4 linked regions of the Arabidopsis thaliana genome follow. The protein of the gene in region 3 interacts with the protein of the main gene of each other region in a pairwise test. Each region holds a gene or a part of one and is shown on either strand. Other genes may lie near its edges. The genes, in order: BZIP53, bZIP2, BZIP9 and bZIP1.

Region 1 (7,995 bases), on a different chromosome or scaffold from region 3:
GGAAAGGCTACCCAGAGCTTCGTCCAAGTGCAAATTCGAGGTCGTTTCCTAGATTTACTTATTAAGTATCTTCATTGATTCAACAAAATTAGGTACAAACCTTTGTTGACATATAAGAACGTTTGTCGTTTTTTTTTTTTTTTTCCAATCTATTTTCAAACAAACAGCTTCGCATTTTCTCATATTCAACTATAGGAATTACACGTCCAATTTAGATTGAACCTTCAAAATCGTTGAAATAATAATTTATTTTATTCTGAATTAAATAGAATAATCTGAAAAATCGACTGAAAATATATGTAATTTTAATTTGGTAGTTTTGTTATGCTTATACCAAATAATTCAAAAATCTAAACAATTCAACCCCACACTAAACCGAAATTTGGAGTGGCGGACTACAGGTGGCGCAAAATGATTGGCTCAAAAACGAAAAGGTTTTGTTTTTGTATCCGAGTATATAAAAAATGAGCAAAATTAATAGATAATAAAAATTCAAATTTCTTTCCTCTGCTCTCAAGAAAATGCTACGGCTCCGCTCTACTTCTTCGTCCATTTCTCATTGAAGATTCAATTTCGCTTCAGAAATCTCTCAAATTGATCGGATTGAGTGTCTCGTCTACCCCAATTTCTGCAAATTACGCTTCGGTTTTCTTGGTTCTGCATAAACGCGATTGCGATGATTTCTAGGTTTCTGCTTCATGCCTACATGTGAAGTAAGCTCGTCTTAGCCTTTGAAATTGATCTAGTTTGGGAATTTTGGTTGATGTTGAAGTCAAGTCACTGAAGGTTCCATTAGAAATTGAGGTTTTTCTGGGTAGTGAAAAGAGGGTTCTTTAGGGTTTGAGAAAAGAATGGATAGAATCAGTAATTTACCAGATGGTGTTATCTATCGCGTGATCTCCTTACTTTCGACAAAAGAAGCTACTTGCTTGAAGTATACCTCCAAGAACTGGCTGAATCTGGTTACCATCATACCGATTGCTGTTTTCGTTGATTCCTCGGCGTCTGCCATTAGTGCAAGTTTCAAAGATTTCGCTGATCGAATAATGTTAGCTCGACTTGCCAGTCACCGTATTAGGAGATTCTCTCTAAAGTTGCAGTCTTTGAATTTTGCTCAGTATAAAACTGTCAATGATTGTTTACGCAATGTGTTGGAGTGTGGAGTCTTGGATCTTGAACTGGACATCAATGTCAGAGGAGATTACTCACTGCCTTCTGAGATCTTCACTTGCAAGAGCGTTGTGAAAATGAAACTAGGGTCTGGTTTTGTTATTGACATTCTCCCTAAGAATGCTTGGCTTCCTGCTCTTAAGACTCTCCTTCTTGATACAGTTCGGTTCGAATTCGATAACACTGCTGGTTGTTCGTTTACAAAGCTTATTTCTGCTTGCCCTGTGCTCGAGGAGTTAGTCATAGATGGCCACAACTGTGAAGATTGGAAATGGTCTCGCAGAGTATCTAGTCAGATCCTTAAGCGACTTACTATTCGGCGTAAAGAATGGGTTCATGATGGCTCTAGTTTTGAGCCTATCAGTTTGGATATTCCTAGTCTTGAATACTTTAAATACTTTGATACTCTCCGAGATAGCTATCCAGTTGTTAAGCTCAACTCCCTTGTGGAAGCTAAGCTAGAACTTCCTTCTCTTTATATTGGGGATACCTACAATGTTAGGAATCTGATCAAGGGGTTGAAAAATGTTCAGATTCTGCGCTTAGGAGCTGTTGACACGATGCACGTAAGTGCTCTCCACTGAGATATTAAAATAAAAAATCTTTCTATACATTAGAATGTTTATTGAAGTTATGACTGACTAGTTTTTTTTTTTTTTTCAATTCTGTTCCAGCTGTTTTGGGTCTTCAGGGAAGCAGTCCCAGTGTTTGAGAACCTGTTTCATTTATCAGTTAGTACTCATGACGCTATCTGTTGGGATGATCTGCGTATTCTTCTTGAAAAATCTCCAAATCTAAAGACTCTCACCATTGAGGTGACCAAAAACCCCAAAAGTTCATTGGACAAACAAAAGAATTGAAACTCACAAAATCTTCAATCTCAAAATTCCGGTCTTTTTGCAGGCTTTGCATTATCATGGCTATGGGGATGAAAACTCTGTTTGCGAATGCTTGGATGGGTATTCTTTCCTTTTGTCCTGCCCTATTGAGATCCTAAAGATAACTGAGTTCGGTGGAGAGATTGAAGAAATGGAGCAAGTAGAGTATGTCTTGGAGAATTTGCTGTGTCTGGTGCTGTTGGAAATTCATGTTAAGACAAAGAAGATTGACAGAAAGCTGCAGATCTTGGCGGATCTCCTAATGCTTCCGAGAGCTTCATCCAAATGCAAAGTCCAGGTCAAGTTTGTTTGAACAAACAAGTGTTTGTTGCCTCAACATGAGAACTGTTGGAGAAATGGTGCAAATAAAGCACATGTTAGAGAAATTGCCAAGTCTTGAGCTTTTGGAAGTTCAGCTTAAGCCAATAATAAGAGCTGACACAAAGATTCAGATCATGTTGGATCTCCTAATGCTACCGAGAAATTCATCTAAATGCAAACTTCGTATCAAGCCCTCTTGAACAAAATCTTAACATATCCCATTTATTGACATGAGAGAACTGAGTTTGTTTTTGTATCACACTCTTAAATCTTTGCATAAGCTCAGAATCTAGTTTGTGAAGATTGTGAGAGAAGTAATCTTAAAAAGATCAAACTTTTGTTGACATAAGCTTGGCGTTTTTCTTATCTCTAACTGGATTTTTCGAGTGTGTAAGGGAGAGCTAAGCCCATCAGCTGAATTAAGGCTATTATAAAGCCCACGAGCCAACTTCCCAACTCAGTCTTGTGTTTTGTAATTTAAAATCGTGTCAATAAAATGATGTAATCGTCACGTCATCATTTAAGTTTTAACCAAAGAGAGCCGCATATAAACAACAATCTGGTAGACTTTCGTTATAGTTAATGGTCGTTTTATAATTACGCTTATGAATTGTGTGTTAGACGTTGCTTTCGTGAGGAAATTTTCAAATTCAGAAATATATAATATTCAGTTAATTAACACTTGGCAATAATATTTGATATTTTCTGAGGAGGCATCTTGGTGGAATATTCCATCCGTGAACAGACGGAGAAACTTCCCTCAACAAAACGTGCTTCCCTTATAAAATTCCAGCTGGCGGCGTCACAGCTGGCGTCAGTTTCCCCCAGTTGCGTTTTAAAAAAAAACAAAATAAAAAGATTTATGACCAAAAGTTAATTATCTTCCTTTATTAAAATATTGTAAAAATAAAGAAAAAGGCTTAGGACAGCTCATCACCATCTTCTCCTTTAAAAGGATAAGCTTGGTGTTACTTTATCGCCTTCTTTCGTTTGGCCTTTGATCCTATCATAAGCTTTTTTTCGTTTATCAATCTTCTCGATTCAGCCACAATTCTTGTTTCTCAGATAATTCATCTCCTTTCTTTGATTCGTTTCCTTCTCTTCTGTCACTCAGATCTAGATCTAGATCTAGGTTTTTTTCTTTCTCATCGGAAATTTGGCTTAGAGGCTTGTTTTGATCTAGGGTTTGGTTTTTGGGAATTTTGAAAAAAAAACAAAATTAGGAATGAATCTATGAGCTACTCAATCCTGTTTCGTCGGATTCGAATTCTACACTCTTTCTCCGTCGTTTACCTCTACTACACCTACGTTTTCTCATGAAGTAATCGTTCTCGATCTCAGTTTTCGTTTTTGATCTAACTTATTCTTTGATAGATTTAGAAATCGGGGATTTTCAGATTGTGTTTTTGAGAGGTTTTTATAGGAAAATATCTCTAGAAGAAGAAGAATAATATTATATTGATTTTAATTTTGGTGAGAAGAAGTCAAAAAGTCAACGAGAAATGGGGTCGTTGCAAATGCAAACAAGTCCTGAATCCGATAATGATCCGAGGTACGCCACGGTGACGGATGAGAGGAAGAGGAAGAGAATGATCTCTAACAGAGAATCTGCTCGGAGGTCAAGGATGAGGAAACAGAAGCAACTTGGTGATTTGATCAACGAAGTCACTCTTCTCAAGAATGATAACGCTAAAATCACTGAGCAGGTTGATGAAGCTTCAAAGAAATACATTGAAATGGAGTCTAAGAACAATGTCTTGAGGGCACAGGCTTCGGAGTTGACGGATAGGTTGAGATCATTGAACTCTGTGCTTGAGATGGTTGAAGAAATTAGTGGTCAGGCTTTGGATATTCCTGAGATTCCTGAATCTATGCAGAACCCTTGGCAGATGCCTTGTCCAATGCAACCAATCAGAGCTTCTGCTGATATGTTTGATTGCTGAAGATGGATGATTCATATCTGAAGGATCAAAAATGAAGCATTGAGTTCGAGTCTTTGGTCTGTTTTACTTACTGTCCTTGTTGTAACAATTAGTGTGTCATTGGTGAATTGAGTCTTGTGTTGTCAATGGACAACGCAATCTTTATGCAATTTCAATTTGTTCGTGTCTTTGTATGGTTTTGTAGCCTCAGTCCTCTAGTCTTGTGTCTCATGTAATTGGTGTCTAATGTGTTTCTTATTGAATTCAAGCTTTCTTATTATTCGCTGCGCATTACCTGTTATGAAATTTTGGCTTTTGTATTCGTTTATGGAACTACAAATTACAAATGTTTTTAGAGCTAATTCAGATTCAAAGACATGATTTATATAACCTGACATTACCAAATGGACCGGAACAAAGATTTGTCGTATACGTATGAATCCGGAACAGGATCTTGATCGCTTCAGTTGTCGTAAGTACGGCACTCGTTGGTCTCAGGATTGTCTTTGCAGTATTCCTCCAAAGGGTCCGAACCATCAGCCTTCTTCTTGTCTCTAGCATGGCTAGCTGCTGCGCTAAGTTCTTCAACCTCGTCCCACGCAGCTACACACTCTCCACTCACAGGATCGCCCGCACAAGTCTCCTGAGCTTCCTTAATGCTTTTCTCCACTACGTCCGATATCCCTCCTTCCGGTGCTGCTTTAATCGGCTGAAGTTTCATCATCCGGTTAGTTGTTCTTGACCCAAGATTCCACGAATTGTTCAAATGGACCGGACCGGCGAGACAAACTGGCCGATTCTCGCTGGTGACGAAGACACGCTGGGTTGCAATGTTAAGACCAGTAGCTATAGTTGCCATCTTTGGATGGAGAAGGTACACGGCAGCCTGTGAATATAGTTTTTGATAAAAGAAGATAGTTCAGATAATTGGGAGGGAACAAGATATATGAAGTGTGCGTGAATTTAATTCTGTGAACCCCATTTCTTATCCTCTATTAACCAACAATTAAGTTCCACGTATTTGATATCGTTTATGAAGCAGTACGATGTTGAAAATTTGCAGCCATCCAAGCCGTTTTCTAAGATACAAGTGCCTGTTGCGTATTTTATCCAAAAAAGATGAGAAAAAATAAGCTGGTAAGTATAATAAAATGATCACACACTGTTTAAGGAAAAGTCAAGACAGATGTCTCAAGTTTCAACCACTGTATCTCCGGAAAACAATGTGTTAACAAATATCCAATTTTGATGTCTGAGTGGTTGTTTATTTCTCAAGCAACCAACTTTCTTAGGTAACTTATCTGAGATCTCAAGAAACCATAAAAACAGAAAAATCGAGCCAACAACATTGAGAGTGAGAGAGAGGCATTCCCATTCACTCTTCAGAGGCGACAACACCGATCTCACCTCTCTCAAGCAAATCATAGAAAGTTCTAGTTTTCCTCTGCTCATTCCAATGGTGCATCTTCCAGAGACCACCAGCAGCTAAACCAAGCGTCAAACCAATAATCAATTCCTTGACAACACTCGGGCCTTTCAATGTGGCATGCGCAACCTTGTGTCCTGCCATTTCTTCTCAACCTAGCACACATTTTAATCATAGAGTCAATACTAACATAATTGATACTTTCACAATGCTCACGATTCCTAAAGCTGAAAACTTTATTGACAACCAATAAAACATCTATACACACACACACACTAATCTACCTGATCTCTTAATTTCTACTGGTTTGCACTTGGAGTCTATATATACACATAAACATGTACAATTTCGATCCATTTTCTGTCTAACCTCTTAACTACGTCTCTATTCAAAGGAAGATATCAAAGGCTTTGAATTTATTCCCAAAATGATACAAGAACCCTAATCCACAGGATCCAGATACTGAAAATAAAATTGGCATTTCTCCCGAAGAAAAGGATTAACGTTTCAAAGCATCACAACACTAAGAGCATCAAATCTAAATCAACGGAAGATTTAAACGAGAAATTCCGATCTTAAGCACACCGATCTACACGGGAAAAAAAACGAGAAATGGATTCGAATCTGATAAAAATTAATCGTAACTTCACAATCCGCCACCTATCTATAACGAAAATCACCACAAAATCATAAAGGAAACAACAATTATCATCAAGGGAAGAATATGGACTTTACCGAGTCAGATTGTGTAGATGAACGAGACAGAAGCTCACGACGAAAACGAAATGGTGGGTGATTGAAGAAGTTGCGTAAGCAGATAATCACTTCTCTACTCCATTTGTGTCTTATTGGGCCTTAAACATGGGCCTGATCTCTTATTTCTTCAATGGGCATTTTATGGAATTTGCTTTTTAAAAAAGTAAACCATTCGCTGCTCGTGTTCCCCGAGTGTGTCCCACCACGTTAATAATGCCAAATCCAATCTGTCAACACACTAAACTAATTTCCTAATCCTGAACTTTTTTAAATAATCATTATCTTTCCCTCTGTTCCGTTAATTATTGTAAAATTCATGAGCTCACGAGTTTGTAAGAACGTCATTATCATTTCTTCACCGAATCTCTCCTCTATACCCCACTAATTCAACCACCTTTGTCGACTCCAAAATTTCAATCCTTTTCTCAAACAGTTCCATTTTTCGATTTCAAATTTCTCTGATTACAGATAATTATGAAACTGTTTTTTCTTAACTAACTTATAACAGTTACAGAGAAAAAATAAATAAAGAGATAGAAGATGGAGAGACAAAGAAGTTTCTCTGTGAAGTCCACAAGAGTCTTAGCATTCATCATCACAATAATCTCTTCCGCCATTGTTTTCTTCACTTTCTTCTCCTCTTCCTTACTCAAATCTAACTCTTCTCTTTACCCAACACCAGAAGCTAACTTCCAGATCGATTTAAGCCCTATTGCCGCCATTTCCGATTCTTCAGTTTCTCCTCAAGCAAGTCCGATTCTGATCTCTACCCATTTCAATTCACCCGAAAACACTTCCGGGTCTTCAAAAATTTCTGTTTTTGAGCAGAAGATTAGCGGCGAGAGTTTGGTTAAGGAAGTTAGGGAAATTGCTAATTTAACTTCGATTAAAGTGATTGAACTTCCGAGCAACAATGGTGAAGATAAGAAGACAGAGAAGAGAATCGAAGAATGTGATGTTACGAAAGGGAAGTGGGTTTACGATAGTGATTATCCATTGTACACAAATGCGTCTTGTCCTTTTATCGATGAAGGATTTGGTTGTCAAAGCAATGGAAGATTGGATCTTAATTACATGAATTGGAGATGGGAGCCTCAGGATTGTCATGCTCCCAGGTTTAATTTCTTCTTTCTAATTTTGTTGTTTTCCTCGTAGGCCTTTAAGAAGATCTCTCTATTGAAGTAGTAGTGGTTGGTGATAGTGACTGATGATGATAAGTGGGATTCATAGTTCCACTGAGCACTTAATCTCTCTGAATAAGTAGGAATGCAATTCATGGTCCTGAATTGGAAATTGTGGTATGTGTGAGTTTAGGTTCAATGCTACAAAGATGCTGGAAATGATTAGAGGCAAGAGGCTAGTGTTCGTTGGAGATTCAATTAATAGGAACCAATGGGAATCTATGCTTTGTTTGTTGTTTCAAGCTGTTAAAGATCCCAAGAGAGTATACGAAACGCACAACCGAAGAATCACCAAAGAGAAAGGGAATTATAGCTTCCGTTTCGTGGTACAATATGACTTT
Region 2 (8,205 bases), on a different chromosome or scaffold from region 3:
GGTCTGACCTATGGGCTGTGGTTGCATGCAGTGACTTTACTTTTTTAATTTTATTTTAACAGTTACTTTTTTCCTCATATTTCCACTATTCGCTTCTCTTTCTCAAAGTTGGAAGCTAACAATTTGTGACTCATTACGCAGCCCATTTTTTGTAGACTTTTTATAAAACCTTGTCTAATACTATTATACAAGAGTCAAGACTAATTTTTGTGAATAAATATATTGACTCTCAGGTAAAATTAGGTATGTATTCTGTTGTAAGCGTTTTAAATGTTCAATCACTTAAAACGATAAAAATCTAGGAGAAATTTTCTCTTTTTATTTTTGGTATTCAAGTATTTTCTTCTGAAGTTATCGCATCCGTGAACAGTACTAGAAATCTACATTATAATGTTGCTTAATGCCTATATATTACTATTAACATGACCATACATGCAGATTTTAATTATATCTAATTTGCAAAGTGGATATGCTAGTGGTACTTTCACAAATCTTAACAAAGAATTGAACCATTCGAACATTAAACAAAATGTTTTAAAGGAGTGTTATGCCATATTTTGATGGCCCCTTCCGACCTAACTTTGCATTGTCTTAACTTTATTATCATGAAAACCTAGTTAGTATATTTTTCCATTGTTAAAACTTGATACGTAAACCGGGACGTCATTCATTAAAGCAAAACACTTAAAACTTGAATATATAACAATAATACAATTTCTGACAAAGAAAGATTCCCCGAATACATGGTGGAGAATTAAATTGTGGGAAATATTTTAAAACCGTACTTTTCTTTAAATACCAGAAAATATTTACAAAGCCTTTTTTAAAGAAATTTTATTTAAAAAAGATTGTGATGGTTTTTTGGAAAATAAAAATTATATTCTATAATTTTCGTCTTAAATTAATAAATTTACTAATTTGTATATCTTTTTTTTATAATGTATTTTACATATCTTTCTAAATAAACTTATGTTTGAGTGATTTTACCTAACACTAATGGCCAATTAGAAATTAGTCGTCATTTCATCATCGATTAGGGACTGATTTTGATAGATTATCAATATTTTATACAATTAAAAAATGGCTATGAAGTTCCAGAAGAGATGAGCTATATGGACCCATGTGCTTATTGTCCCCTGCATCTGCTTAGAGGTTAAGTGTTAATCACCTTTATTTATATATGTTTAATACTTAATTATTTTTCTTTCGCCAATCTCATAATTAATTAGGTTTAAATTAAAACTGGAACTTTGACGTGTATTAAGAGCCGCTCATTGAGAACATGGATTGTGCAATGCACGTGGTTTCGTACGGTGCAGATCTACAAAAGAGATTCTGCGTCAAAGACGGTGTCGTGCACTGTTGTTGTCTAAATTTTGTAGGCGGTGAAATTATGAAAGTTGTCTACTAACGGTAACTAAATTAACTACCAACGGTAAATAAATTTTGTCTCAGGTGAAGGGAAATTATTAAATTTGTCTAGCCTTTTTACCCGCTATAAGTTACTATTCAGCGTGGGACGAAAAAAAAAAAAATTACTACTCAGCGTGGTGTGCCGACATAAAAATAATTACTCGTGTAAAAGAAAATAAAAACTATGAAATACTTGAAGTCGTACTATTAAATTATAATTTCCTTGGTTAATATCATCGCTGTATCAAAATTTAGATTTAAAATATGATCAATGATATAATTTAAAATATATATATAACGTATGATAAAACGATCAACTTACATTGTTAAGTGTTTCTAGAGCATTTTAAAAACATATTCTATAATTTCATATATAACATTTTGTTCATAAAACTTAGGTAAATTTGATCTCGAATCTTTAAAACAACCAAAATATTGTCCACAAAAATTCGGTGTAATATTGAAGGTTGTTGTTGTTCATGTTCTTGATTACTTTTCAATTCTCTACATTTTTACATATTGTTTCATTTAGAAAAGGAGTTGGTTGAATTGTGGTTTATCACTTAATTTTTATTATTTATATGTAATTTATTTTTAATATAAGGTTTTATTAATTAATTTGCCTGTAGTATTGTTTTAATGTATGTTTATAGTTATTCATCAAACAATTGTGATCAATATAAAGATTATCCGACCGTTAGACTCGTCACAGGAAATTTTTCTGAAGTTGAATTTCAAAAGCTCAAACAATTAAAACGCGTAATGATAAGTGTTGTAAAATGTTATAGAATTAAATTTAAAATTGTAAACAAAAAGATATACAAATAAAGAAATGATGTTGATGATGATAGTGCTTTATTTTCTTATATTTTTTGTGTGTCTTTACCAATAAGAAAAGAATAATCCATTTTTATAGATATGAAAATTTAGTAAATCAATTGAAATTATTACAAATGATGTAGTGTAGTTATTTTGAAAATGGAGTAAACATTATCTGTAGAATATGAATTAATGATACGTGTTACATGTATTAGACATTCATTGGATTTGTAACAATTTATAAATAATTAGAAACATACTTCAGATTTATCTCTTATAACTATATTATAACTTTTTCTAACAATTTGTGACAGTTTTCGTTTCATTTTAGTTCTTACCTTCAGTAAGATCAGCTTTTATTTTGTGTTAAACAAATTCAACAACTCGTACAAACACTTTATGAGACTTTTCAATAATTAAGACGAACAACAATGATCTAGTACACACAAATTAGATACTAACATTTTTAGTTCGAAATCATTTACTAAATTCAAAATTTTGATATCAATCACATGGCTCGAAATTACTGTATTAGATTGAAATATCAGAGCACATATCAATCCCACAAATCCTCATGAATTTACTTAATCCACATACTTTAAATTTTATTTTTAAATATTCTATATTTTCTTAAAATGTTGGCTGAAATAATGTTTTACAAAATTTTATTTCGTTGGAAAATTATTAAATTTATCACCTTCCTATTTGATATCACTTTTAATTCACCAATTGTATGTATCAAAATATTCAAAGCCATTGACTGAATTAATGGCAACAAAAATTATCAAAGATTTTCTGTAATTCCTACATTGACTACATGCAATTTTCAAGACATTGACTATTTTCAATAGTTTTCACTCTTTTTAATCTTGATATCTGGTCAACTTTTACCACCTACCTATTTGTCTATCCTACTACATATCATTAATCACACCATTAAACCACACAAATCTATACTTACCATTAATATTTTTCTTTTGAATACCAAAAAAACAATCAAAAAGTAAAGTGTCATTACCAAAAAAATAAAAAAGCAACATCCACCTACTGACCTACATATTTTTTTTAATAAAATTATAATGAATCATTTTGTTAGTAAAAAATAAAAATGATAAAACAATGGGCGCGTAAACGATTCCAGCTTTCCCCACCATCCATTATTTCCCAAAAAATCAAAATAAATTAAAAAGACACAAGTGGATGCTTGAGATTTGGTTTCTATATAATCCATAACACACCCTTCATCAAAAACCTCTTTCCCATTCACTCATCTTCTCTTCCTTATCTCCTTAAAAATCTTCTGCTGTTTTCTTTTTTATATTTAGAGCTCCTCTGTTTCTTCTCCAATAACCAAAAAAAAAAAAAAACTCTTCCTCTGTTTGTTTTCAAGTTCTGACATCATAAATTCAGACCGAGAAAACATAAAAATTTGAGTCTTTTGATGATCGGAAACTGATGACTCCCGTTCTCTGCGAAATCCTGCTCTCTGGGCTCACGGTCAAATCTGCTCTCTGCCGTAGAACCCATCTCGTTCAATCTTTCTCCGTCGTCTTCCTCTACTGGTTTTACAACGTTTCATGAATTGCTACAAACTCTAATTAATTTTTTCAGACAGATCATAAAAAAAAACCAAACATAAAACATAAAACTCTGTCCTTTTTTTGTCTTCTTGTAACTTTTCTTGTTAAAAATCAATGGCGTCATCTAGCAGCACATACCGGAGCTCAAGCTCTTCCGACGGTGGTAATAATAACCCGTCGGACTCCGTCGTCACCGTCGACGAACGAAAACGTAAAAGAATGTTATCGAACAGAGAATCTGCACGTAGGTCAAGGATGCGTAAACAGAAACACGTTGATGATCTAACGGCTCAGATCAATCAGCTATCAAACGACAACCGTCAGATCTTGAACAGCCTCACCGTAACATCTCAGCTTTACATGAAGATCCAAGCCGAGAACTCTGTTCTCACCGCTCAGATGGAGGAGCTTAGCACCAGACTCCAATCTCTCAACGAGATCGTTGATCTTGTTCAATCCAACGGTGCAGGATTTGGTGTTGACCAGATCGACGGCTGTGGTTTTGATGATCGTACGGTTGGGATCGACGGATATTACGATGATATGAATATGATGAGTAATGTTAATCATTGGGGTGGTTCGGTTTACACTAACCAACCCATTATGGCTAATGATATCAATATGTATTGATTAATAAAATTAATTAAAATAATTAGATGCCCCTTTTTTGTCTTTTTATTTTAAAATTTAGCCCATTTTGGTGTTTTTGGGTTGGTGTGATGATGTAATTATAGTACATGCATCTTTGATTGGTTGGAAGGATAAATATAAACTTTATATATATATTGGGGCATATATATATGAGTTGTACTTTGTCATGTATTGGTGTGTGTTTTGTTATAATTATATGATTATATATGTTTATGTTATCATGATTTTGTCTTTCACCTTAATATTCCAATTGTTTATTCGGATAATGGTTTGTTTATGCTTCGAGAAAAGCAACTTTTTGGATTGGTAATTTTTAAGAATGAAAAAAATCACATTTTGGATTGATGATTATATATATATATATATATAAGCTGCATTTACAATTAAGTTTTGGTTTTTCTGCAAATAACAATAAAAAGGAACTTCTAGATAACATGTCAAATCTACCAAGTCAAATTTCACCTGTAATATAATTCGTTGTCAGCAACGTAAGTGCTAAATAATGATCAATTATATAACAAATAGAGTTCCTTGCGACTAGGAGAAATTTATCATAATGTATGTGAAAAATAAAAGATCTTCAAACATATATATGATGCTTATATGTTTAGAGGGTTTTGTTGCAAGAACCCATCATTTTAATATAAGATTATGGTTTTTTTAGTTAAAACACAGATGAGCAAATCTTAGGTGTATGATAATTATTTAGAAATGTATTAAAACCTTCGTCAGTCAAACATTTTTGCTTAAAAGTATCATTCATACAAAAGGACATAAATTTAAAATTCAATGATTTTTCCTTTTTTTCAAATGTAATAACACCAGTGATAAAGTTTATTGTACGAACGCAAAACGTTCATATTAATGATGGTATCTTGAAGATTTATTTGTATTTATTACATATGTGGCCAAGAAAACATATAACGTCAATTTAGTTTTATTGCTTTTGCATTTATCTTTTCTAAGAATCTCTATGAATATATTGTATTATAGATATATATTGTGTATATTATATAATCTATATTTTTTTTTTTAATATTAGATGTTTCAGGGTCAGGGCATATGAACGTAATCTATTCTTTTTTTTAAGAAAGCAAACTTTTTCCAACACGAATTTAATCCGTGACTTCAAACATTTCCATATTTACGGTACACTTGTATTATTGTGAGTGAATATGGTTTATGTTTATCCTTTATCTTTTTGAATCTTATTATATATAAAAAGGTTGGTGTTGTGTCTTTACGATTTTAATCTTAACTTTATGTTATATGAAGACATATATGAAAACGATATATAAACACCAACAAAATAAAAATAATCATTATTGGATGTCCTATTCTCTTCTCGTATATGTGAAGCTTTACACTTGCTGAAAATTATTGGCTGTTTCTTCTGATTTGTTCAATATATATATATATATATATATATATATATATATATAAATGATCTCATCACAAACGATGGGCTATTATTTTTCGTATATGACATGAGACAATTATTAGGTATGCCTATATATGAATGAGCACTTTTGTTTGTTTGCCTGTGTTAAAGATCCAGAAGAGTGTACTGATGGGTACACATGTGATTCATAAGCATTTCGCATTTTTCACCTCAATACACATAAATAAAACACTTTTGTACGCCTTTTTGAAATAAGATAACTTTTATGGAACAAAACAAAATGTAATAAAGCAACAAACAAGGATTATGGATAAATGACACATACAGTGTTGTATCTTCGATAATATTAAGTTCTACACCATGCCGTGGATAGTCCATGATTTAATACCGTTTTGTCGATATATTAGGGATGACTTACACACGTAAAATCAAAGAGTGATATGTTAAGGATGAGCACATGTAACATTGAAGAGCCTATGAGTTTTATTAGAGAGCGTTCACAATGAATTTTAGTGTTTGAGCTAGTTATTGATTCATTCTAAAGATAATTAGTTTTTGAGGATGTTAAAGATGAACACATAAAATCGGAGCGACTATGAGCCTTGGAGAGCTCACTTAGGGTTGTATTGTTTGAGACAGAGTTATTTTTTGTCTAAATATACTAAGAATTTTTGTTGTTTCCATTTTGGTTCATCACTATCTAAGTCTATTTAGCCCATATTGTTCTAAGGAACAATAGACTTAGATAGTGATGAATCAAAATGGAAACAACAAAAATTAATGAAGTTTAGACAAAAAATAATGTATTAATATATTCATAATTATGCTTTATTCAGCCCATATTGTTCTAAGCTTAATGAAGTTTGGCCCACTTAGTTATTGTTTGTACACTTCTTATAGAGGCTGGCTCAAGTTATTTTTGGGCATTGTGCCCACTGCCCATTTAAAGAAAATTCTGAAAACTGTTCATAATATAAAATCATAGGAAACACTACAACTATAAATATGTACTTAACCCTAAGATACTTCTGATGAGAGCAATAACATTGTCGTTCAATTTTATATCAATCCTCACTCGATCATGGTATATCAGAGTTATAATTATCTAACAATCGGTTACATTCCTGTTTTTAAGCCATGTACTTCTACTTTTTATATTTGTTTTAACCCAATTGCTTCCAATATTCAAGTTCATCATAACCTCTGAATTAAGCCAAAGTACTTCCATAATTCAAGTCTATAATATACCTCGCAATCAACCCAAATTGCTTCTAAAATCAAGCTAAAATGTTTTTTTATGCAATAAAAAACAAATCTCATGTTTTCTTAAGCTGTATACATTTATTATGTCTTCAGAGCTTATATGCTTCTTTAAAGTTTTTGTTTATTAAAAAACAGATTTTCTTCAAAATATATTTGGTTTTAGTTTTATCTAAGAAATACAAGAAAAGAAAGAAAACAGCCTTCGGTTTGTTCTTCTCGACAGAAGATCAAGCATTCTCCATGGCTTCAACCATGCGCTCATGCAGCCTCTATTTTTCCCTTTTACTTCTTCATCATACGAAACATCTTGATTGAATTTAGTTCTAGTAAATAATGTTAAGTTTTTTTTTTCTTTTCTACTAAATAAAAACTCATGATGAGGCATAATCTATATACTTTGCAAGAAATGCTTTCATATTAGTGTTTTATTCATCCATAAAAAAACTATTTAAGTTGAAATAATAATAAATATTAGTATCATATAGGAGTATAACTTATATATCAGAGAACCATTTATTAAACTTGTCTTAATTATGTCCTTAAGATTGTACACATGACATGGCTCTGCAAAACATAACTCAGTTCAAGTATCCCTTGGGATGACATGCGTTTTCGGGGTTTTGTTTCTCGATCATTAATTAGTTTCTAGAAAGAGAGACGACGTCAAGAGTCAAAACCAAATGAAAGTAGGAACCACACACGCGTTGAAATGTTCATAGTTTTCTTCACCTTTGATATTCGCTTTTTACCTGCATATCCATGTTTTATGATAGAAGACAAAAACCCTTTTGCTTTTTTATTGTTTATAAGTCAACAAACGAATAACATTTTGAGGGATATTATTTGTTTTTCCTTTTGTCAAGAGAGCAGTTAGAAACTGTTCATACTCTTTGTCCCTTTTAGTTAATTTTTTATCACAACAAAGGAAGACTTGTGAAACCTTGACTACTTACTTACTAAACCACGACCAAGTAAAACATTGTTTTTTTTTTGTAACTATATAAAGCTTTCTTTATAATAGTTAGGTTTAAATCTGAAGTGTCAAGAATTTTAAAAAACGCGTGCGTGCTTTGTGAC
Region 3 (8,057 bases):
TTTAGAAGAGAAGAGATTTGATATGTATAATTCATGTAAGGTAGTTCATAGATGACGATATTTTCACGTTTGACATATTCATCGTGACAAGAGGGTTGCTTGGGTTTGAGGTGTTGGAAACGGTGGTCGAATTAATGGACATGGTGATTAAAGGTTTAGGATAAAGATGGATATGATACCACATTAGTCTATTAATTACCATGTAGAAGGTTGAAATATTGAATGATTTATTGTAATTGCTTAAAACACGAAAACGTACATCATTTTTTTTTTTTTACAATATAGGGAATAAACAGATTTACTCCAAATATAAACTGATACACAACAAGTCAACAACATGTATATCTATGTACACACCGATTACAATTCTGAATAATAGTTTTCGGAAGTTTTTGCTAATATAGGAATTTCGGAAGTGTTTTGGTAATTAATGCATTATGGGGAAATATGTATATTAATTGATATATATTGGAAAATTAAGGTATACTTAAATTTTATGTGAAAACCAAGATTATTATTATTTTTTCATCGTTCTCTTTATATATAATATATATTGCGACAAAAGAAATTATTAAAGTTGAAGAGGTTGAACAAAATAAAGAGAGGAGAAAGAGAGCGCAAATGGAGTGGAAGAAATGGTACTTAGACGCGATTCTTGTGCCCTTAGCTCTTATGATGATGATTTGTTACCACATCTACTTGTCCTTCATGGTCCGAACCAATCCCTTCTCCACCCTCCTCGGCATTAACTCTCACGGCCGCCGGATTTGGATTTCTGCTATGATCAAGGTTTTTCATAATCATCGCCATTGCATTCTTCTTATCAAAAACGTTACAGTTTTATAACAATATGATGGTATAATTTAGTCGTTATTGTCATATTTCTTAGAGATTTGATATGAGGATTAATAAGTTTAGATGGTAGAGTTGATTAGTCTTGGTTGGTCCGAAATCTTCTCATAAAAGAAAACCTATAAGCTATATTTATAATTGGAGAAATATGCAGATTGGTTATTGTTTGTTGTTTAATTTTTCAGGACAATCAGAAGACGAACATATTGGCGGTACAAACACTGCGTAACATAGTAATGGGAGCTACACTGATGGCCACGACCTGCGTGCTTCTCTGCGCGGGTCTAGCCGCAGTGTTAAGCAGCACTTACAGCATCAAGAAGCCTCTAAACGACGCCGTTTTTGGTGCTCATGGAGATTTCGCCATATCCATCAAATACCTAACAATTCTCACAATTTTCATCTTCTCCTTTTTCTTCCACTCCCTCTCCATCCGTTTCCTAAACCAAGTCGCCATTCTCGTAAACATCCCTAACTTAGACCCTAATCCTTCTGGTTGCGTCTTCCTCACGTCTGAGCACGTCAGCGAGATGTTCGAAAAGGGTATCTTTCTTAACACGGTAGGTAACAGGTTGTTCTACGCAGGCTTTTCTCTAATGTTATGGATCTTTGGTCCCATCCTCGTGTTCTTTAGCGTTTTGGTGATGGTTCTTGTTCTTTCTCACCTCGATTTCGTGTCACGCAACAACAATAAAGAAAAACTACGTATAGTGGATATACGTCGTTCCTCTGATTTTACGAATGGTGGTGAAGACTAGGAATCTAGGACGCAAGATGACTTTTTTGGTTAAAGGATGATGCTTATTGATAGTACATGACGATGATATCATAACCTCCGGATTGTTAATAAATGCACTTGGAGATTTTCTCTTGTTATGACTTATGGCCTTGCTTTTATGAACTTTTATTATTTGTGATCTTTAACCTCTAGCTTCAATCTCGTTCACGTCATACATGATCTTTTACTGGAATAATATTTTAAATCTGTAACCAGAAAGATTCTAAATATAATTACTACACTAAATATTATAGTATCAAAAATAATTTTTAAAAAAAAAAAACAAATAAAGATTCAATTGGTCCCTCAAAACTGAAACTAAAGATTCTAGTGTTTTTTATTTGGTCACATAAACTTTGATAAAATTCATTTGGTCACGAGAATTCTTGTTTTTGTCATGAATTTTAAATGAGAATTTTTGTTTGTTCTATAATACTTTTATCTACCCATGACCAAAAAATATACTAACACAGTTATATGATTTGAAAAGTAATTTCTGAAAACTAAATCACCCCAACTACTCTAGTGATCACTAGACATAGAACAACGTCTTTTTTTTGTTTCTCTTTTCCTTTGTTTATAATTCCTTTCATCTTCTTTTCTTTTTCTTTGCAAAACCTCGTTTGGAGATTACAAGTAGAGTTTGTAGAAACAGAAAAATTACTTCTTCTTTTTTTGCTAAAAGAAAACAAAAATTACTTTTGTGTTCATAAACTAATTTTCATTCATATTTTCTGTATTTTAACTTACAAATTTAGCATGTGCCTCAAGTAGAAATTCGTTTCTTACAAAAAACGTATATCAATCATCATCTAAATTACATGAAAATTTTCAACATCACTAAGGATTGAATTTTAATTGTACTAGTTACTATGGTTACTGAATTGTACTGTAGTCGGTAGATTGTAAACATTGTAGTCCACTATAGGTTCGAAAGTTCTAGTTAGTGAGAAATAATAATTTTAAAATGCTTTTGGATTCTATTTTCGGATCTAAACAACTTTTGTTTGTTTAAAGACACATTACCTAGTTTGTTTCTTTTTATTGTTTTGTTGTGAAATATTTTAACTTTTTAAAGGAAGTGCAGATCAAAAGAAAGAAAAGTTGGTTTACGCATACAAAAGTTGATGAAATAAAAAGTATTTCTGGTGCTGGAGGAAAGAAATGTCTTTTAGATCTGCTTTCCAAAAGCATATGGCGAAAAGTAAGAGTAAACAAAGGACGAAGCATTTTGTGTTGTTCGTGTGACCGGAAAATTCTTAAGTTTTTCTTTTTGGTGTTGTAGTAGTAATGAATGATAATAAATATTTTAAAGATTTTTACTACATGATACAAAGGTGTAAAAAACTGAAACAATATTATCAATATTTTTCCTTCAAATATTATCAATTATTTATGAAGATTAGTTTTTAGTGTTTTATGAAATTATATATTCGGTAAAACATTTACCGTAAAAGGTTAATTTATTCATTTTCAATGTTTTTGTAGTTTCATCATTGGACTATGCCCCTTGTATATTAATCTTAAATTAGTCGTTAAGTACTTCAAATTCGAATTCAAACAGGTTATGTAGTAGAGTAATTTATGTAAGTGTAAGGTTCTTGACATGTGCCAAGAATACAAATGTACATGAGTGACAATATTATTATCTAAATATTTTCAAATATTTAAAAGCTTATTTCGAAATATTTTAGGATCCTTTTATGAATATAAGCTGCTTATATATATGCCTATAACATTCATTTTCAAATCAAAAGCTCCAACATATTAATGAGCTGACAAACAACTTAATGTTTGAATTCAGATATGATTTATATTGAAAGAGTCTCCAGCTATCTTAGATAGTCTCCCTAGTTAAGGGATTAAAGGTTATCATTAGCATATAATTGGTACCATAATATTCACCAATACTACAGAGCCTAATATACATCTCTGTGGCTTTGCTTTTCTATTCTCTTTTGTTATTGTTGTCATTAAAGAAAAAAAAAGTTGGAAATGAGGACGTTGCATTGACAATGCAAATTCAATTTTGCTTAGCCATTAAGAAGCTTTTTCACAACTTTAGTAAAGAAGAGAGACTTATATAAAGAAGATGTCTATCACCACTTACTCTTCCCCTCTCCTCTCTTTTCCAACCAATTCTCTTCTTTCTTGTGTGTTCACATTCAAAGAAAATGGATAATCACACAGCTAAAGACATTGGTATGAAGAGAAGTGCTTCTGAGCTGGCTCTACAAGAGTATCTCACTACAAGCCCTCTAGACCCTTGTTTCGACCTCATGAACCGGGTTAGTCCTTTTGTTGTCTCTCTTATTCGTATCATTGTTGCTTGTGTCTATATCAAGATCCAGAGATATTGTAGTAATTAAGAGTCTAGTTTCTTTTGGTTGTAGGATTACACTTGTGAGTTAAGAGATAGTCTTTTGTGGTCTGAGGGATTGTTTCCGGCTGGACCTTTTCGCGATGCACAGTCCTCAATCTGCGGTATGTGCATGTCTCTTTGATTTGACTCCATGTAAGTAATAAGTGTTGTTGCAGTTGATATTAATGTTCACTACTTGTGTGGCTCTTATCTACAAAGAGAATCTGTCAGCTGATAGTCCAGTGTCAGCCAATAAACCTGAGGTAAGAGGAGGAGTTAGGAGAACCACAAGTGGATCTTCTCATGTTAACTCTGATGACGAAGATGCCGAGACAGAAGCAGGGCAATCTGAAATGACTAATGATCCCAATGATCTGAAACGTATTAGAAGGTATGTTAGGTACCAATAAAAAAGTTAGATGTAAAACACTGAGATAGAGAATCACCAATTCTTCTTAATCTTTTTCTGTGATGTGAATTCAGGATGAACTCAAACAGGGAATCAGCAAAGAGGTCGAGGAGAAGGAAGCAAGAGTACTTGGTAGATCTTGAGACTCAGGTAAGGTTAACAAATAGCTTGTTGGATGATTTGTATCAGAGAGTAATGTTTTAATGGTGACCTTGTGTTTTCTTCAAGGTTGATTCTTTGAAAGGCGATAACTCAACACTGTACAAGCAGCTCATAGACGCAACACAACAGTTTCGTAGCGCTGGAACAAATAACAGAGTTCTCAAATCAGATGTTGAAACTCTGAGAGTCAAGGTATCATCTATCACTTGCTCTTTTCAATTTGGGAAAGTAATAACCGGAATGTGCTAAGTTAAGTAAATTCTATATAGGTGAAACTAGCAGAAGATTTGGTAGCGAGAGGGTCACTCACTAGCAGCTTGAATCAACTTCTACAAACTCATCTAAGTCCACCATCACACTCCATCAGCAGTCTGCACTACACGGGAAATACCTCGCCCGCCATTACAGTCCACAGTGACCAATCTTTGTTCCCTGGAATGACACTTTCTGGACAGAACTCAAGCCCTGGACTTGGTAATGTATCCAGTGAAGCTGTTAGCTGCGTCTCAGACATCTGGCCATGACTCTCTTTCTTCAGAACATGTAATGATCACTCAGCGAATTTCCTGTATGTGTTTCGCTATAGAACTAGAAACATATAATGAAAGCAGCATGTTCGTTAAATAAACTCAAGTTTCGTCAACATATACTTAATTGCTCCAAATCCTGCAGATTGTAATCTGGAAACTGAAGCATGTATAGGCCAATAAATTACATTCTCCAAGGAAATTGCTTAAATGTGTTCGCTTAAGTAAGTATACAGACAAACAAACAAAAACACTGATCCATTACACTTTACTTTCCAGCAATTTCTATTAGCTATTTAAGGCGACAGCTATGCATGTTGTAACATGAGCAGACAAAACTTACGTCGAAAACCAACCTCAGTTGATTAGAGGCGTACCCATCTGCGAATCTGCACCTATATCAGTTGCGAAGTCCTTAGGCAATGGGATATTTAATTCCGAGCAAACAAGCTTCACAATATTAGCCGTTACACCTCCCATAGACATCTTGTTCAGTGTTACTGCAATGGAAAATCTGTTGTTGATGTCACAGAAGCCTGTTGATCCTCCTAACCCTGAATGTCCAAAGCCAACCAGAGACCCATCTTGAGAAATGGCGCGCTTAAAACCAAGCCCAAACTTTCCATCAGGCACTACTAAGCCACTGTAGTCTCCAGCACCCATGAAAGCATCATGGATCCTCGGGTTGCTAAACATATTATGAATATCATGTTGATGATCATCGCTATTGATCTCAGTTTTGCCAGCAGAACTGTTAGTATCAACTAGCCTGGCTAAACTTTCTGTATTTGACTCTCTGCTGCTACTAGCACTCATAAACTGTTTCTCATCATAAAGCTTCCTCTCTTGATGATCTTTTGATTTACCCTTTTCTGTAGCTGCCATCTCCTTACCCTTTTTCTTTTTTGTTGTGTCTTTCAACGACGTGAATTTCGGAACATGGGTGTGGCTACCTAGTGGTGGCTGGGATAAAGAGGAATGTGGAGGTGGCACTAGGCCACCATCTGCTAGGGTTGCATAGTACCTTGCAAGTGCACGAGCAGAGCAATGTCCATTAGCCGCAGGGATTATGGCTCTGCGCACATTCAATGTGTTAAATAAGACTGGCAAGTTGGTTGCCATTTGTATGATCTTGTCAGGCTGAAATGTGGAAGGAAGCTCAGGTTGGCTGGCAATGGACGAAAGCTTGCTCATTTCATCAGTGTCGAACGTCAATGTGGCAAGCCTAGATTCAACACCTATAATTAAGATGTTAGATAATTATTAATAACGCTCATAGCGTAATTTACTAATTCACAATGTCTGTGACTGTTACTATTTACCTGGGGGGATTCCAATGTACAGTTCTCCATCAATATTTAGGGGTTTAACAATGGACTCTTCAAGGATCTCCTGGAGTTTCTTTCCAGAAGCATACTGTTCAAGATTGATGAAAGCAAGATTGGCATTAACGTAGTAGAGGTAAGAGAAAAAATTACAACTTGACGACTTGCATAGTTTTTATGCTTAAACAATGAATGATATAATTAGTTTACCTCGAGGATTCCACCACATAGCCATCCAAACGTGAGATAGTGATAGGACTGCTGACTGCCAGGCTCTGTTTCAGGTGATGAATTAGCAATCCGTTTCAAACATTCATCCCAGTCACAAATAAGCAGAGGATTTTCTCCTACAGGGTCAAAGGAATTTTGCATCCCAGATGTATGGTTAAGCACATGATGGACCTGAAATACAAAACCGAGGTATTAAAATGAAGGGCAATAGATTGCGAAATGGTTAAGTGACAGTGTAGCTCCTTATACCTTTATGGTATCTTTTCCATTTGATCCGAACCCTGGCCACATATTTGCCACAGTCTGGTCGAGCTGGAGTTTCCTGTATCATTGAATAAATATTACTAAATATGACTAAGCATGTGTTCTGCAAATGGGATCATGGAATTAACAATGAGACCAATATGTAAGATTGGAGCCGATTCAAAATATCAGGGTGTGTGAAATGAATACATGAAATTTTTTGAAAGCTTAAAATGTTGTTACTCACCTTTTGTCAACAAGCCAATGTATCATTCCAGCAGTGACACCCTTTGTCACAGAGAAAACAGGAAATAAACTATCGGGTTGAACTGGACGAGGGTCATATCTTCCAAGCACTCCAGCAGCAGTGTCAATTATGACTTTCCCATCTTTATATGCACACACCTAAACGAACATGGCCATGTTAAACCAAATGTAAAATGAAACGAAAGCTGACTGCAAGCCAAACAATAAAAAAAGTGTTGCCCACCTGAATTCCAAGTATTTTCTGGATACTCCCAAGTTCAGCGAGCAGCTTCCTCACTTTGGACTCTACATCAGAATGGATTGGCGAGTCATGTATCCAATGAGCATCCACAGTTGGTCCTCGACTAATACTCCTGAAAACCCACATTATGGTCGTACGGGATATATCACAAAGAGATAATAAAATGAGCTGCCAAATTCCAAGGGTGCTTACCCTAACAGAACAGATTCGGCAAATGGTCTCATGATGTCCAGATAAACAATCCGAACATTCATAGTAGATGAAAGTCCTAAATAGTCGACAAAATAAATAAGTAAAGAAAAAGTAAAGTACTATGATTGAGCAAATCCTTTGACATAATGAGGTAAAGTAGTATGATTCATAAATTATACCTCTGAGTAAATTAATGACCCTCGCAAAAATAACAATATCACCAGGAAATGCATCTATCTGCATCAAATGTTTTCATTGAGATATAAATGGTCACCTGAGAAGGCTATATTTGAAAGAAATTTGTGCTTACCGGATTGAAGCGTTTAACTTCTTTCTGGTTGAGCTGCATCTTCTCCTGTATAACTTTCATATTTTGCACTCTTTGATCGTTCAGGGTTTTAAACGTTTTCTAGTAAAGAGAGGAATCTGTAAGAGCGGATCCATTATAGTTACCCCAGTAGAGAAAGC
Region 4 (7,967 bases), about 12 Mb from region 3:
GACAGATCTAAGAAAAAAAGTTACGAATTGTTAGAAGAGAACAGACCTGGTCACGACCCGAGTCGAGTCAGTGATTAAGGAGAGAATAAATGGTGGTAGAGAGAAAGAGAGAGGAATGGTTTAGAGAGGAAGCACCATTAATATAGAGAAATGGGAGGGAAACAAAAGCTTCTCACAGTCATGTGGCTTATTGGTAGGTAGTTAGTTCACAACTTCTTTCTACCCAAAATTGATTTCTCTATCTTACATTGACAAAGAGAAACACCTAACAGTTTTTTTTTATTACAAATTTGTTTTTGTAACATCTTTTGTTTTATTTTATTGCAATTTTGGTCGTTAACATGTCGTCCTTGCTGGTGGTGTTAATGAATAGGCTGTTTTGTCTTCAAGATTCAGCAATATTTTTTGAAGATTGTGAATCACGCATTCATCAAAACATTGTTTAATGTGTTTTTGAAGTATTTTAAAAGTTAGAACGTGTTATAATTTCTTCCTAATCACAAACATAAATAAATGTAAAGAAACATGACTAATGAATACTTGGAGAGAATGATAGAAAGAGAGGAGGACTCTTTTTTTGGCTTATACTTTCTTATGGAAGTGAAAGTGGTTAATCAATTGTGCAATAAAACTTATGTTCGTATATATTGAAGTAAAGTGATAAAGATTTATTGTGCATATATAGATGAGCTCTACACGAATATATGCATACTTATGTCACTTTCTCTTGCTTGATCTAGAACGTTATCATACTAAGACTATGTCTTACGGACTTTTTGTTTTGTGACTTGTCATATGGTCTATTTTCTGAGCGAAAAGAATTATCGGGAAGATAAACTTATGCCGTTGTGAGGTTTCCTGACCATTGCTGTGGACTTGTGGTCGCATATTTCATTCCTGACCATTGCTGTGGACTTGTGGTTGCATATTTCATACTCCTACAAAGAACGGATATGCTCTACGAATTGTTTCAGTTTAAGGAGGCGATTTTTCTTGAAATTGATAGACATATCACTAGAGCTAAAAAATCACCTCGATCATATTTGAAATCATTGAATTTTATGGTTTATGATAGTTCATCTATTGTTCTATACATCGAATATATATATAACATTTATAGACAAATAAATCACTTAAAATCAATTAAACTCCTACGCGTTTAGAATACTCCATGTTGAAAAAGATAGAAAAATCTTATAATTATCACATTTTCATTAATCTATGGGCTTGAATGGTTTACCGTATACCAGTTCACGTGGTCACGTTTTTAAAACGTGATTCCGCTATTTTTACCTTTCAAAATTTTATCAAGTTTTAACGTTTTCATGTTTAAAAAAATGATTCCATTATATAGCACTAGCGTATTAAAAATTATAACTAAGAAACGTGATTAATCTACAATAACTAGTTTTTTTTAGCAATTTATAATCATTCTACATAAACTTTCTTTAGTTCATTTCATTCAGCTAACCATTATTTAGTTATTCTATTGTTCAGCTATCCATCTCACATACCAATCAAACCCATCAAAACGAGAAAACTCTAAACTAAGGGGTAAAGACTTGACTGGTACATTAGTTGAATAACTGAACAATACAATAGCGGAATCACCAGGACGACAAAATTCAAAACGGAATAAACTTAACACGCCAAAAAGCTACTTAATAAATGACTTTGTCTAAACTAGTTAGTTATACATTTAACACATGCGAAATAGATTGGAAAATAGCTTATTAATTTTCACGGTTTATCACTCCGTGGTTATTATTGTGAATGGTATACACTCGGCAAAATCACGTTTTGAAACACATGAACATGCAAATAAGACACATACCATTCAAGCCCTATATTATTTTGAATTATTCATAAAATTGAAAAATTTGACACAAAAAATTGTTATCGTGTTACCAAAGCAATTTTTATCGGTAATACTCAATTATGACCAGAACATATACTACTTCCCCACTTTTTGCTTCAATTTTGATTACTTCATCAGTTCTGCCATTTACATGCAAGGTACCAAAAAAACTTTTTTTTTTTCTTTCGGGTTAACCACCGAAAATCATATAACGTTAAATGAAAATGTTGAAAACAATAAGATATGCAATTGTATCAGAATTCAGAAAGTAATGAGAAGAAACAATTCGATATAAAAAGATTACAAAAACTATAAAATGACCAAAGTAAAACACACACTAATACACAAATCTCATGTCTTAAAGGACGCCATTGGTTGTAGAGAACCACAACTCAATTTCCACGGTGTACGTCTACAATCTCCAACCGCTATTCCCGCGTTTGCGTTCTGATCGTCGACACAATCGCCACCACCACTCTGCGTCAGCGTTAAACTCGTCGTAGCAATCATATTCTCTAAATCGCTAACGTAACTCGAGAGCCAAATCTTCTCCGATCTAAGACCCGCGTTCTCCGTTTCGACCGAGTCAAGCCTCTGTTTTACAGCTCGACATCTCTCACTGTTCTCTTTGATTCGTCGTTCAAGACTGGAGATCTCATGAATCGTGTCTTCCATTAACTTCTGTTTCTTCAAACGCGACCTCCTTGCAGATTCGCGGTTTGATAACTTGCGTTTTCTTTTCTTCTCATCTATGTCGGAACCTGAACTTGTCTTCTCTGCGTTTGCCATGTTTTTTTGTTCAAGAGATAACGTAAAACCAATGAAGAATCACAACTGATATAGAATGATAAACAAGGAATTGGTTGAGATTTATCATTTCATAACTCTGTCCATTGTCTTTTCATAACTCAAGAACTCAAGAATTTCAAGACAAGAAAAAAGAATTTCAAGAATCTGTGATTTTGCGAGGATCAAGAGAAATTAAACAAGAAGATCTTTATTTATGATTACGTTTGATTTTAAGAGAAGAGAAGAGATTAGTTAGAAGAGAAATAGAACAAGGAAGAAGATAAGGATAAGATCGAAAATAAGGAAAGTGGGAGAAGTTGTTCGTTTTAGGTTGCTCTTATTTATAGATTTAACATTATAAAAAAAAATCTCGAATTTTTACATTAGAAAAGATTATCCAAATTGTATAAGAAAGGAAGATTCATCGAATGACGAATCGGAAAAGAAAGAGAATTTTAGTCAAACATTTTTATTTTTTACTTTTTTGGTTTATTGTTTTTATTTTATTTTATTTTTATTAGGACATAACAGCTAAATAGGTGTTGGTGTTGTTCCTTAATAGGTGACCAGTAATTACTATTTTTGCTTTTTAGCATTTAAATTGTTGTTTTGTTGTGCATTTAGTTGTCACACTCGTAGGATAATTCAAGAAATATCCTACGAAAACTAGATTCTATAACCTTCTAATTATGTATATATACTTGTCCAAATTTAATTCATCGTTTTGTAAGTCCCTTTTTCTGCAACTCCAGTAAAAATAGAGTATGATTGTCTAAAATCAGTAAACTGGATCAGTTAATGTCAGTGGGTAATGCATTAGCTGACATAAACACGTTCCGATCATTATTTCTTCTTAGTTCGGTTTTAACTACTAAGCATTTCAAAAAGTTACACAACCATTTTAAATTTTAAATTGCTAATGGGACAAAAATACCTCATTTAGAAAGAATCATACGTACGTAAACTATATCGTCAATGAAACACGAAGTTCTTTTGGAATTGGACAGGTTAAACGTGGAGCAATGACCGACTATTTTTAGTGTTTTTAATTTTGGGGATTTAGAGATTACGCTTAACATGGTTGACAATTTTATTATTAAAGAAAATTATCCATGTTGAAAGCAAAATTCCATTTGATATTACTTTTGTGTGGGTCTTATCTGAAATGATTTTAGTAAACTAAAAGAAAGAGACTGTATATATTGATAAGCCAGCCCTGCTTTCTTTTCAAATGAAAATACAAAACAATAGAAGATGGGCGATAATTTATTAATTAATATAATACTTGAAAATACACGATCCTTATCTGCTCACCGATAAACTATATATCATTATTTATTTATCAGATAAATAAAATACTTCAATATAATTATTTTTCATAAAAAAAAAGTAGATGCACTTCATTGGTTGGCTAGTTTTAGAAATTTGTTTAGGTTCTACGGACCTTTTGTTCGGGTCTGAGTCAATCTTGATATTTGAGGTTTTGAACAAACTAGAAAAAAATGAAAAAACTAATGCAGAAATCTACATGTAAATTGCTGTTAATTGTTATTTTATTTTAAGTGTTTATAACGTGGTAAAGTATATTAAAAGTTTTATTTAGATAACAAATTTATTATTATTTTTGTTTGACATATTTTCATTAATAAGATCTGATCTATAGATAATCCCTAACTATTATCCAAATAACGTGATTTAATAAAGTCAAACTCCAGTAGAAAATGTGGAGTTAAATAGGTTTAACCAATTGACTATTACCACCATTATTGTTTAAACTACTGGTTACATATTTCTTTGTTTTTTTTATGAAATTTGTTAAATTTGTAATCATATACATGATATATTGAAATTTAATGTTTTGGGTTTTAGGGAGTGTTGTAGTTTCTCTTTTTTTTGCCATTGATATTTCTCTATCAACTTTCTTAATTATTTTTTTAATTATTAGTTCCAAATTGTGGTTGAAACTTAGTGGTTTGTTTTAAAAGTGTTGTTGTCATATTAGAATCCTAATTTATAGTTTAAAATGTATGTGTATAAACTAAATGATAGAATAAACATGCAAGTTTTTTTTTTGAACCCTATATCTAATTTTAAGAAGACAAGTACAAAACAGAAATAAAACTTCTCAAATTCTAACACATTTATCTAAGAACGTGAACTAAATCAAGTTTAACAAATAAAAACATTTGCTCCTGTTTATCGTATTAAGAAAGTTTGCATTCTTATTTTTGTTTTCTTTGTTTTAACAGTAGTTTTGTGTGTGCTCTAGAAAGTCAATCAAGTGTTTCAAATATAGAATTTTATAATCCTTCTAACGTTATAGCAAATACCTATGTGTACAGAATATATATATATGATTTATCGTCTTCGACTTCTTTGTATACAGACATTTATAATCTTTTAATGGGTTCAATATAGATAATTGCTGATCCGACAATTAGTATATTCTCGTAGTTATCACGATTCATGATGATGATGATGATGATGATTACATCATCCAATTTGTTAGACAATTTCTATGGATGACATCTGATAAACAGAGTGAGAAGTTTGCTTAACGCGGAACATATATACACTCAAGTATTTAAAGAAGATCACGCGCGGCGATTGATTAAGCGAGAACGACGCTACAGTAAACCAAAACCAAATCTAGATCTGTGCCTCTCCGGTCACGGTGCTTCTCACCGGTGGCCGGAGAGGGCTTCTCCCTCTTCTCCTTTCCTCTCTCTTATCTCCTCTGCCTCTCCTTTGAAGCTCCGGTGGTGTTCAAATCTGGCTTGCTCTTCGTCTCTTGTTGGTGGTATGCGGCGAGTGGTCACGCACGGAGCAAAGGACGTGCGGCGTGTCTCTCTCCGTTTAAGGCAGTGGCTTTGATGAGACGACTGTAGCGGTTGTGCGGCTCCTATCGACGGGACCATCTTCCAGATCTGATAAATTGGTGGTGCATCGCCATGTTTCTTCAGACATCGTCGTTCTTCTTTGATTTGGGCACAACGGTGAGTTTTCGGTGTGGCAGATCTTCTCTTCTCGGGTCTCTCTACCTGTTTTTTCTCCAGCTCTGGTGATGGTGTGATTGATCCGACGGGCTTCTCTTGTGGAGGCAATCCAAGGAGTCGTTTGGCTCTTGTGGATTGTTCGTGGTGGTTAGTGGCGTTGTGGGTTTTGTTTGGTGGTCGACGTCTCTCCTCCATTGGTGGGCAGTTGAGGGTGGTAGCCTCTTCGGCCATGGGTATGGATTCTCTGTGTCCATTGGGTTTCGTCCCTTTTGCTTCATCTCTGGTTTGCTTTCAGGTGGAGTTTTGTTGTTCATGGTGTTGTCGGTGTTGGTTCATTTGGTGAAGGTGAGCCTTTGGGTGTTATGGCTATGTTCACCGAGGGTTGAATAGAGGCGGCGGATAGGTCTAAGTGGCATCACTAACTCAACGAGTTAGTGTAGAAGTCCGCGGTTGTCTTTACGTTTTTGCGTTAGTTCTTTGAGAATCTGTAGGCACCTATCTCGAGGTTTGTGGACGGATCTCAGATAGTTGAGCTCGTGGCAACAACGATGAGGATTCCAATACTTCGGTATTGTGGCAATCACGCAAATTTCCAAGTTTCGCGGACTTGAAATCGGTGTTTCCCTTCGCAACTTAGTCATAATTACTCAGCTGCAATCCGAAGTTTTTTGAGTAGTAATGTTGTTTTTAATTTTCTGTAGTGTGCTTTAATCCGTTCTTGTATTTTCTGTAACTTCTGTCAAAAATCTTAAAATGGTATAAAATTTAACTTTTTACCAAAAAAAAAAAAAGTTTGCTTAACGCTTACATATGACGTATCTACGTGGATGATTTATGATTACAAGCTTTTGTAGTTACATTTTCTTTAATTGTTATTTATCATATTTTTGTTAATTAATAATGTTGGATCTTTTTTTTCCAAACTAATAAAACTTAGCAATATGTAGTATATATGCCATATAGAAATACATACTCCAAATTATTTTCTTTTCTGGTGTTAATTTTTTTTTTTTCGAAAAAAAGAGAAAAGAGTTAAGTCTGTGTTAATTCTTTCTCTACTAACTTTAAAAGAGAGAGATCATGTTACAAAGAATAGAGAACATTGCGTAAATCTCTCCATCTCAAACTCTTCTTAGTTTATTATTACAAAGCCACTCTACATAATTGGGATGCAAACGACAACGTTCATGTCTATAGATGGATAGAAGATAACATCATCGCTCATATTTAGTTAGGCAAAGTATTTTATTATATAGTTGAAAGAGTCTATTTAGAGTCCGACACGTGACAAATTTTCTAAAATATGTAATAAAGTTGCAACGCGTAACAACAAATCGATTAAATTTTGACTTATTTAAAATATTTTATATGTTATTGGAGTGTACAAGTTTTATAATTTTTTTTTCTTATATTTTATCTTGTTATTTTAATAACATTACAAGCTATGAGATTAAAAATGCAGAAATCAATTTACATTTTGTTACTTTTCAAAGTACTAATTAAACAGAGTAAAATATTGATAAAAATTTGAAAGTTCCATAATCTTTTATTTTGCAGGATACCAGTCAAAAATGGTAAGAATTTATCATTTCACTACATAGAATACCAATTCAAATATATAGCTCAAATTCCCCCCCCCCCCCAAAAAAATATAGCTCAACATAAAGTTCACTACATAAATCCTTATTTTCTCAATATATCATTTTATATAATTTTTGTTCATTACTTTACATGGTATAAATTTTATCGATTTATATTCAATTAGGTAATATAATCTTTTATTTTTAATAATATCATATTTAAAGCATGATGATACGCGATATAATTTTTTGGATAAAAGTAAAGACGCGATATGATTATTATGTGTTCAACATAATGTACATAAGATAAAATTTATTTAAATCTATTAATTTTTTTTATAAAATCAATTTGAATGTGTATGTGACATTGGGACATCATCTAGTTTATTTTGAAATATATGTAATTAGGTAGTATGAAACTCTTTTAGACAATAAAAGGTAGTATGAAACTCTTTCTGACTTTGGTTTTTAAACAACCCATATATGTCTCTTGTAAATTTACTTTCAAGGTTGGTTTGAACTCTTATTTCAGTGCAACTGGTTGGTTTTTGGTTGGTTAGATTTTGTTTATTAAATGTCGGCCCATTAGTTAGATGGCAAAAACCATGGGCTTAGTAGAATTCTAATCTATAAGTCCAAGCCTCTTTTTGATAAAAGAATAAATAGAAAAAAAATGTGGCTGCTGGGATTCGAGCCCAGGTCTCCACGGCCACAACGTGGAATTCTTACCACTAAACTACAGCC

What was found.
Region 1: the proteins of BZIP9 (region 3) and BZIP53 interact in binary tests that used the Arabidopsis thaliana proteins (3 or more experiments, as listed by UniProt).
Region 2: the proteins of BZIP9 (region 3) and bZIP2 interact in binary tests that used the Arabidopsis thaliana proteins (3 or more experiments, as listed by UniProt).
Region 4: the proteins of BZIP9 (region 3) and bZIP1 interact in binary tests that used the Arabidopsis thaliana proteins (3 or more experiments, as listed by UniProt).

What each region holds. Positions count from the first base shown.
Region 1 is NC_003074.8:23,088,161-23,096,155, reverse strand, and holds BZIP53 (basic region/leucine zipper motif 53), read left to right. Parts: upstream 1-3,305; 5' UTR 3,306-3,871; coding exon 3,872-4,312; 3' UTR 4,313-4,570; downstream 4,571-7,995. Other genes in the region: SAF1 (F-box/RNI-like superfamily protein), read left to right, coding at 1-52; AT3G62430 (Protein with RNI-like/FBD-like domain), read left to right, coding at 852-1,736, 1,845-1,985, 2,074-2,361; CP12-2 (CP12 domain-containing protein 2), read right to left, coding at 4,755-5,150; AT3G62400 (cytochrome C oxidase subunit), read right to left, coding at 5,483-5,743; TBL6 (TRICHOME BIREFRINGENCE-LIKE 6), read left to right, coding at 7,014-7,588, 7,788-7,980.
Region 2 is NC_003071.7:7,894,525-7,902,729, reverse strand, and holds bZIP2 (basic leucine-zipper 2), read left to right. Parts: upstream 1-3,487; 5' UTR 3,488-3,926; coding exon 3,927-4,442; 3' UTR 4,443-4,718; downstream 4,719-8,205. UniProt on the Arabidopsis thaliana protein: Transcription factor that binds to specific DNA sequences in target gene promoters. BZIP2-BZIP63-KIN10 complex binds to the ETFQO promoter to up-regulate its transcription.
Region 3 is NC_003076.8:8,511,455-8,519,511, forward strand, and holds BZIP9 (basic leucine zipper 9), read left to right. Parts: upstream 1-3,745; 5' UTR 3,746-3,804; coding exon 3,805-3,918; intron 3,919-4,023; coding exon 4,024-4,114; intron 4,115-4,211; coding exon 4,212-4,383; intron 4,384-4,475; coding exon 4,476-4,551; intron 4,552-4,629; coding exon 4,630-4,755; intron 4,756-4,832; coding exon 4,833-5,087; 3' UTR 5,088-5,215; downstream 5,216-8,057. Other genes in the region: AT5G24790 (transmembrane protein, putative (Protein of unknown function, DUF599)), read left to right, coding at 622-789, 1,038-1,610; AT5G24810 (ABC1 family protein), read right to left, coding at 5,448-6,328, 6,413-6,506, 6,626-6,817, 6,896-6,968, 7,137-7,294, 7,380-7,509, 7,590-7,665, 7,769-7,826 and 1 more. UniProt on the Arabidopsis thaliana protein: Transcription factor.
Region 4 is NC_003076.8:20,046,825-20,054,791, reverse strand, and holds bZIP1 (basic leucine-zipper 1), read right to left. Parts: upstream 2,964-7,967; 5' UTR 2,648-2,963; coding exon 2,210-2,647; 3' UTR 2,057-2,209; downstream 1-2,056. Other genes in the region: AT5G49440 (uncharacterized protein), read right to left, coding at 5,329-5,874. UniProt on the Arabidopsis thaliana protein: Transcription factor that binds to the C-box-like motif (5'-TGCTGACGTCA-3') and G-box-like motif (5'-CCACGTGGCC-3'), ABRE elements, of gene promoters involved in sugar signaling.